2 linked regions of the Drosophila melanogaster genome follow. The protein of the gene in region 1 purifies or fractionates together with the protein of each later gene. This does not show direct contact. Each region holds a gene or a part of one and is shown on either strand. Other genes may lie near its edges. The genes, in order: TfIIFalpha and CG8117.

The links.
Region 2: the proteins of TfIIFalpha (region 1) and CG8117 purify together in Drosophila melanogaster (affinity purification with mass spectrometry, with the first as the bait; one large-scale study listed by BioGRID). This does not show direct contact.

What each region holds. Positions count from the first base shown.
Region 1 is NT_033777.3:6,378,460-6,383,373, forward strand, and holds TfIIFalpha (transcription factor IIFalpha), read left to right. Parts: upstream 1-2,007; 5' UTR 2,008-2,136; coding exon 2,137-2,160; intron 2,161-2,226; coding exon 2,227-3,146; intron 3,147-3,222; coding exon 3,223-3,810; intron 3,811-3,868; coding exon 3,869-4,070; 3' UTR 4,071-4,145; downstream 4,146-4,914. Other genes in the region: CG1024 (uncharacterized protein), read right to left, coding at 11-1,495, 1,559-1,705. UniProt on the Drosophila melanogaster protein: TFIIF is a general transcription initiation factor that binds to RNA polymerase II and helps to recruit it to the initiation complex in collaboration with TFIIB. It promotes transcription elongation.
Region 2 is NC_004354.4:15,642,667-15,645,767, reverse strand, and holds CG8117 (uncharacterized protein), read right to left. Parts: upstream 1,547-3,101; 5' UTR 1,478-1,546; coding exon 989-1,477; 3' UTR 777-988; downstream 1-776.

The sequences.
Region 1 (4,914 bases):
TAGACTATACCTAAGGCTTTTCACGTTGCATCGTCTTCCAGATGGCGTTCATTCGCATGTGCCCTTCTCGCAGATGGTTCAACAAGGCTTCAACGGTCCCTTCGACTGACTTGCCAGCTCCAGATCTCCTGCAAGAGGCAATGTGTCGTTCGTAGCGCCATTTGCTCCTAAAGACTCTGTCACAGTGCTCGCACACAGCTTGCTCGCCCTGATCGTCCTCGGATCCGGCGTCATCCGCCATGGCCGCTTGACCGGACTTGTTGGGACTGGCCCACATGGGCTCCGGCTTAATAAGCAGCTGCGTCTTGTTTTTACGCTGCAGCTCCTCCTGGTGGTTGTAGCGAATGTGATTGAGGATCTTTGAGGTGCTGGTCTTGGTGCGATCGCAGAGTGTGCACTTGAGGTACGACCGGTAGGGCAGATGCTTGAAGCAGTGCTTCTGCAGTTGTGAGCGCACGGTCGTTGGTTGCACCTCACGGCACTGCAGGCACATGGCCTTGCGCCCGGACTCCAGGATCTTAAAACTGTTCTCGATTATGTGCTCGAAGTCGTGCTTCTTGAATACGTGTGCCCGCCAACCGTCCATCGAGGCGATTTCCTTGCCGCACTTCGGACACAAGTACGATATGAGCTTCGTGAGGCCGTTGGTGGACATTTCCGTGTCTGAGTCGCGGCTGGGCGTCGTAGAGATGCGTCGACGCTTAGTCGGTTGACTTATTGGGTCCGACTTCATTTCCTTCTTCAGCTGGGCCACTTCCTCCTTGCCGAGTGCATCGATCTCGATGATGACCACCTCCTGATTTCCTTGCTGCAGGTGCGCATCGTCTTGCTGCTGCTCCTCATTAGCTTCTCCTTTGCCGGCGGAGGGGCCATCATCAAAAAACTCCTTGCAGAGCGCATCCAACTCGTCGTCATACTTCGGCACCACCTCTTTCTCCTCCTTGCGCACGATGTCCTCGTAGGCATTCAAACACCGATCTAGATTCAGCTCGCTGACATTTGAAATGGGCTTAGGTTCGTTTACAGGAGCCGCTAGTGCTGTCACTGGGGACTTTTCCATTTCTGTGTTCAGATCAATGTCCATCAGCGCCTTTTGCAGCAGATCATTTTGCTTTCTGTTCGTGGAACCTTTGGGACGCCCACGCGGCTTCACAGCCATCGGCTTCTCTGCATTTCCAGCTGGTGCGGCCGCTGTAGTGGGTTTCGCCTGCTGCCGCTTCATCTGGCGCAGCTTGTTCTCGTACTTCTCGATCTCCCGCATGTGCGTGTCCAGTAGGTGGACGTTCAGAGCCCGGCGCCTCGTGTACGCCATGCGGCAGTGCACGCAGCGGTAGGTTTCACTGTGCTCCAGATGCATAAAGTAGTGGTACTGCAGGAGGGCGATTGTCTTGTGGGCATTCTCCACCCATTTGAAGCACAGCTGGCACTCATGGAATCGCTCGTCGATCTGGATGAAGTTGAAATCTGAGTACGTCTTCTTTAGATAGTCGTGTTTCTGTGGGCACATTTCAAACCATTATTAAAGCAGAACTTGATTTGCACAAAACCCGCAACTTGCCGTGTTCAGATGCTGTCGCCACTCCGCCTGAGTGCGGAACGCCTTGCCGCATTCCGGACATATGTAAACCATGTGCGCCTCCAGACGCGCATTAAGCCGACTTTGTTCATCCGAGAGCGTCACGTTCCGCGACATTTTCCCTAACATTTAAGCGACAAACTGCAAATGAAATCCAAACAAACTAGACAGCGCTTTGTGAATTTATCGTTATTTGCTATGGCGACAATCGTTTATCTAAAAAGAGGTAATCGATAACCGTGACTGTGAACGGATATCGGCTGTCACTTTATTTTGATAGAACATTACAAAACTTTGAAGTTTTTAAATACCTTGTAGGGCTTGAATATGCAATCTTATAATATCTACTTTTCCAATTTGTTTATCAAAATCTCTTGGAATAAATATTATTTTTCTGCCCAAACGATACGATACACTTGCTTCCAAAGAATAACTGCACTTCTGTTATCGGACATCGCTAGAAAATCCAACTTTTCTGCCCGCGCCGCGAATTGTAAGAGTTTGGGGAAAAGTATAAAATATCCAGATAGAAGCAACATATGATTAGCAAACATTAAGCCATGTCGAGCGCGTCAAAGTCGACGGTAAGTCTTTACCCTGCCGCTTCCGGCGCCAACACTTATTTGCGGTCTTCGCTTGATTTCATGCAGCCGAGCGCTGCCAGCGGGAGCTCCACGTCCGCAGCTGCCGCCGCCGCAGCCTCTGTCGCCTCAGGATCCGCCTCGTCATCCGCCAACGTGCAGGAGTTCAAGATCCGCGTGCCCAAGATGCCCAAGAAGCACCATGTGATGCGGTTCAACGCCACGCTCAATGTGGATTTCGCGCAGTGGAGAAATGTGAAACTGGAGCGGGAAAACAACATGAAGGAGTTCCGGGGCATGGAGGAGGATCAGCCCAAGTTTGGTGCTGGATCGGAGTACAACCGGGATCAGCGCGAGGAGGCGCGCCGCAAGAAGTTTGGCATTATAGCGAGAAAGTACCGTCCAGAGGCACAGCCATGGATCCTTAAAGTGGGTGGCAAGACTGGAAAGAAGTTCAAAGGCATCCGCGAGGGCGGCGTAGGCGAGAATGCAGCTTTCTATGTGTTCACCCATGCACCAGACGGCGCCATTGAGGCATACCCCTTGACCGAGTGGTACAACTTCCAGCCTATTCAGCGCTACAAATCGCTGTCGGCGGAGGAGGCCGAACAGGAATTTGGTCGGCGCAAAAAGGTGATGAACTACTTCTCCCTTATGTTGCGAAAGCGTCTGCGCGGCGATGAGGAAGAGGAGCAGGATCCGGAGGAGGCTAAGCTAATTAAGGCAGCCACCAAAAAATCCAAGGAGCTCAAGATCACTGACATGGATGAATGGATTGATTCCGAGGATGAGTCGGATTCGGAGGACGAGGAGGATAAAAAGAAGAAGGAGCAGGAAGACAGCGACGATGGCAAGGCCAAGGGAAAGGGCAAGAAGGGCGCAGACAAGAAAAAGAAAAAGAGGGATGTTGATGACGAGGCCTTCGAGGAGTCGGACGATGGTGACGAGGAGGGCAGAGAAATGGACTACGACACCAGCTCCAGTGAAGAGTATGTGCCCCAAACGATTCTGATAATGGCAATACAATTTGGACCACATCTACTAATTTCTTATACCCTATTCTAGCGAACCAGATCCAGAGGCAAAGGTGGACAAGGACATGAAAGGCGTGGCCGAGGAAGATGCGCTCCGCAAGCTGCTTACCTCCGATGAAGAGGAGGATGATGAGAAGAAGTCTGATGAGTCGGACAAGGAGGATGCCGACGGCGAGAAAAAAAAGAAGGATAAGGGCAAGGACGAGGTATCCAAGGACAAAAAGAAGAAGAAACCCACAAAGGACGACAAGAAGGGCAAGTCGAATGGCAGCGGTGACTCGTCCACAGACTTCAGCTCTGACAGCACAGACTCCGAGGACGACCTTAGCAACGGACCGCCCAAGAAGAAGGTCGTCGTCAAGGACAAAGACAAGGAAAAGGAAAAGGAGAAAGAGAGCGCTGCGAGCAGCAAGGTCATCGCCAGCAGCAGCAATGCCAATAAATCTCGCTCGGCCACTCCAACGCTCTCGACGGATGCCAGCAAGCGCAAGATGAACAGCTTACCCAGCGATCTCACCGCTTCGGACACAAGCAACAGTCCCACCAGCACGCCAGCAAAGAGGCCTAAGAACGAGATTAGCACATCGCTGCCCACTTCCTTCTCTGGCGGCAAAGTAGAGTGAGTAAAGCCGTGATATACTGGAATTCCTAATTCTAATTTCATGTATTTTGTTTAGGGACTACGGCATCACCGAGGAGGCGGTGCGTCGGTATCTTAAGCGAAAGCCCCTGACCGCCACCGAGTTGCTCACCAAGTTCAAGAACAAGAAGACGCCTGTCTCCAGCGACCGTTTGGTCGAGACCATGACGAAAATCCTGAAGAAGATCAATCCCGTCAAGCACACCATCCAGGGGAAAATGTATCTCTGGATCAAGTAGCCCGCAGTCATGTGATTTTAATGTTTCATAACTCAAATGCATTATTGTTCAACACAAAATATAAACGCACCACTGAAAATCGGTTAATTTTCTTGGTTAATTCGAAAAGGCAAGTAGTATTTTGCACAGAAACTGATTTTAACCAATTCATTGTATTTGTACTTCTAGAATCTTAAAAACTAGTTATTAATGCTATATCTTAGTATTATATTTCTATATGGTTTCAGGTTCTGAAGTTGAGAATTCTAAATTCTGTACAATGATCTGAAACAGTTGCTGAGAATACTGGATTTTAATATTTTTAAAATTTTAGTCGATAGCTATCGAAATATGGGAGTAATCGATGTACGAAAACATCGCCGTCAGGAAGCCAGCAGCAGCTATACATCGATTTAGTTCCAGCTCTAGCCCTGTATATGTGTCTGTGTTCGGGTGGGATGTAAATTCTAATATCCGATAATTAGAAAAGTGAACCAAACCCAAAGCGTTCTTATCGCGACTGTCATGCTCTTTTCGCAGCCACTGCGCTGTCCCCGCTGAACCACGACCACCAACTAAAGGAACCCGAGGAGTCCGAGCCCCAAAAGGGAGCAAAACAAAGTACAACGCAATACCAGTGCGATGGCGACGAGTGAGGAGGCGAGCGAGTGCTGAAAAAATAGGATTGGATACAGGAACTGGCCAGAAGTCGCTCCAAACGGTCAACTAAGAGCACGAGAAGCCCTAATCAAGTGAGTGACCAGTGGATTTACGCGAATGGGCGTCGGGAAAGCAAAAGGAAATCGCTCAGCTGCTTTGTTGTTGTGCTAATTGAACGCACACAAGCACAGTAGCAGGCACGCAC
Region 2 (3,101 bases), on another chromosome or scaffold:
TACAAATGAAATCCGAAAACAAATAAGCGATTTTGTTTGTGGGGAGAAATGATGATGATCGGCGCCAGACGGACATAAAAACGCCAAAAGAAACGGAAAGGAAGCCTGGGAAAGGCGCATTTCCACTTTGTTTATTCGGAGCTCTGAAGCTCTTTTTAATGGTTTCTTTTTTTTTTTTTTTTTGGCCAAATGGCCAATTAATGCGATTTACTTGATACGCTTTTGCATTTTGTTGTTGCTTTACGACGGCGGATATTAATTAATTGGCCCGTCTCTGGGGAGCAATTCCCATTGTGCCCATCAAGAGTCCACCTATCATCCCAGTTCGCAGTCCAAACCTGAATCCCAAACCCATAATCCCATTCAATGCCGTTAATGTGGGCCATAAAGCAAATGCTTTAACGTCTATAATTTGTCTGCACTTGGAAACGACCCACGCATACTAAACATAGTATACTATACTATATATACCATCTCATCCAATTCAATTCAATCCAATTCAATCCCATCCGATCCCACCCACTCCGAGATCATCGCGCCGAATGATTCATTAAAGTGTAAAGTGCTAACTAATAGTCGAAAAATTCATTAAATTAACGCTCGCGCTATGCTCGTTTTTTATACAAGCAAACTCGTATATTGTTGAATGTTTATGAAACAAAGATTTGCTTTCTTTCGGACTTTCGGTGCTAGTTTATCTGCTTTCGCAGGCGAACAAAGGAGCATCCATCGATGATGGACTCATTGATACCCTCTGGTATTTAAAACGAATGAATAAGATTTTTATGACATGTAATATATTTCCATAATATGTATGTTGTATGTTGTATGTTGTATGTATTCTTGTTAAAGTATTATTTACATATTGTGGAAGCCAACGGAAGATCAGTCTGTTTATTGATATGAGATATTGTGAATTGTGTGAGTTCGTTTGCTTGGTATCCAGCCAAGACGGGTGACTCCTTCAAGGGACTCTCTCCACGGTTGTCTAGCTCTTCCAGCGGTTGCCGCACTCGTCGCATATCACAAAGGTGATAATGGGCTCGTCACCATCACGGATATGCAATTGGCTGCAGTTGCGTTTGTCGCAGCGTTCGCATTTGAACTGATCCGTCTTGGTGCCCTGAACCTTGGCCATCTGTGCCGCATTGATCGAGTCCTGAACGTACTTCTGGCGCATCTGCTTCATATCATCGCTGGCCATCTCCTCGGGCGTCATCTTGGATAACTCTTCGGGCGTTATTTGACCTAATAGGAACTTCTGGCGCAGCTCTGGATTCTTCGGATCGCGCAAGTTGGCCAAACGCGAACGTATGCGATTTTTGTACTTCACCTTGCAGCCGTTCAAGTCGCCGTAAATTGCGTCCTCCAGTTTAGCGGCCATGTCATCCGGATCGCCACATCCTGGTGGCATGTTGCCCGATTTCAATGCGGTTGCCAACATCTCGCGGCACTTGATGCGTATTTCCATGGACATGGCTGCAAAATCGAAAGAAAGTTTAGTGAATTTATTCAACGAAACCGGAAAGCACAATTTTTAGATTGTGAGAAGTTGAGAGGTCACTGAGAGATGTCTAAGCTGACAGGAACGGCAAGGTAAATGAAGGTTTTTACTCGGCAACTTTACAACCCAACTTGATTAAGGTCTAAATATTTCGGATTTATTATGCAATATTTCTACTTAATCATTTCTTAACCGTTGTGATTAGCATGTAATTAGTATGAATTTGAATAGATAAATCTACATATGTATAAATGTTCGATTTGGGAATCCCCTGCGTAATGCATCACTATTCCATAACGCCCGCTGTGGCCCCCAAGAAATGTGCTAAAATTGGACACTGAAAGGAAAACCAAACACAAATGAAAATCAAAATCGAAATGGAAATGATATTTCCCATTTAGTCTATATGTTTGTGTTTGTCGTTCCGCTTTCTTTGTGCGCCGCTGGCTTTTGATTTCGCTAATCGTCTACAACAAACAGCGCGGAGATGATCTAATTATTGACGCACGAATCCCGCAGAAGCACCAAAAACAAAAGGAAAATGAGTAATAAAAAAAAAAAGGAAAATGGGAAATGGAAAATTGAAATATTGAAAAGCCAAACAACAGTGACGAAGGGGGGGGGGGGGGGGTAGCCACAAAAAGTAGGAAAAAAGCCCAAGCGAGCGAAATTGAAAACAAAATCGAAATCATTATCCAAGTCATTAGCTTTTTAGCGAATCGTTCTTTTTATTGTTGCCGGATATAAATCTGCTAATGTACTTAACCACACAAACATCTAAAACACCCACCACCCAGCCACACCCCCGCTTGCCAACGTCCCACTTGGCTTCGCTTTCGTCCCACTGTGCGTGCGCGTTTTTCTAGCGTTTTTAAACGCCTCCGCCGACCTTCAACTGTTAAACTTGACGACCTCAGCGTAACGTAAACAGCCGCCATCGATTCGAAGCTACCCAAATATAAAGATACAAATGTATCTATCTATCAATGGTCTGGGGAATTGGTTCACGGCCGATTACTGACCTTGGCGGCCTTTTGTCTTTCACCTTTCGGCCAACAACGTATTTGGCTTGGTAAACAAGCCCCAGAACAATGGGTAAAACCTTGAACCTTTGTGGCCAATCAATTTCTCCAGATTGGCGAAAATAAAAAGAAAGTGTGTGGCCAACATGAGGGGCAACCAAAGAAAATTTAAGAAAATATCTCAAATATGTTCCTGTTTCAAACTACTGTTCAAAATACATTAGCTTTTGGATAACATTCTTGCAAAATCTTAAATCAAATTGAAGAAAAATCTTAAAAAACACAAATATAAGTAAATAAAGTTTGGACAATGTGGTTTATGTATAATATATTACAAAACATTTGAATGATTACATGAAGATCGATGAGGATTTACTAATAACTCCTGCAGAATCATCAATTATGTGTGAATAAAACTTAAAATGTCCCACTTAAATAGTTAAATTCCAGTACGCAGCAATTTTCCACTAATTTACCTCGATCAATTTGCATTTTCCAAGTTTTCTAAAGTCCAATTGTTGGTTGGTTGGCTGGCTGCCTGGCTGGATGGTTGAATCGATGGCTGGATGAACGTT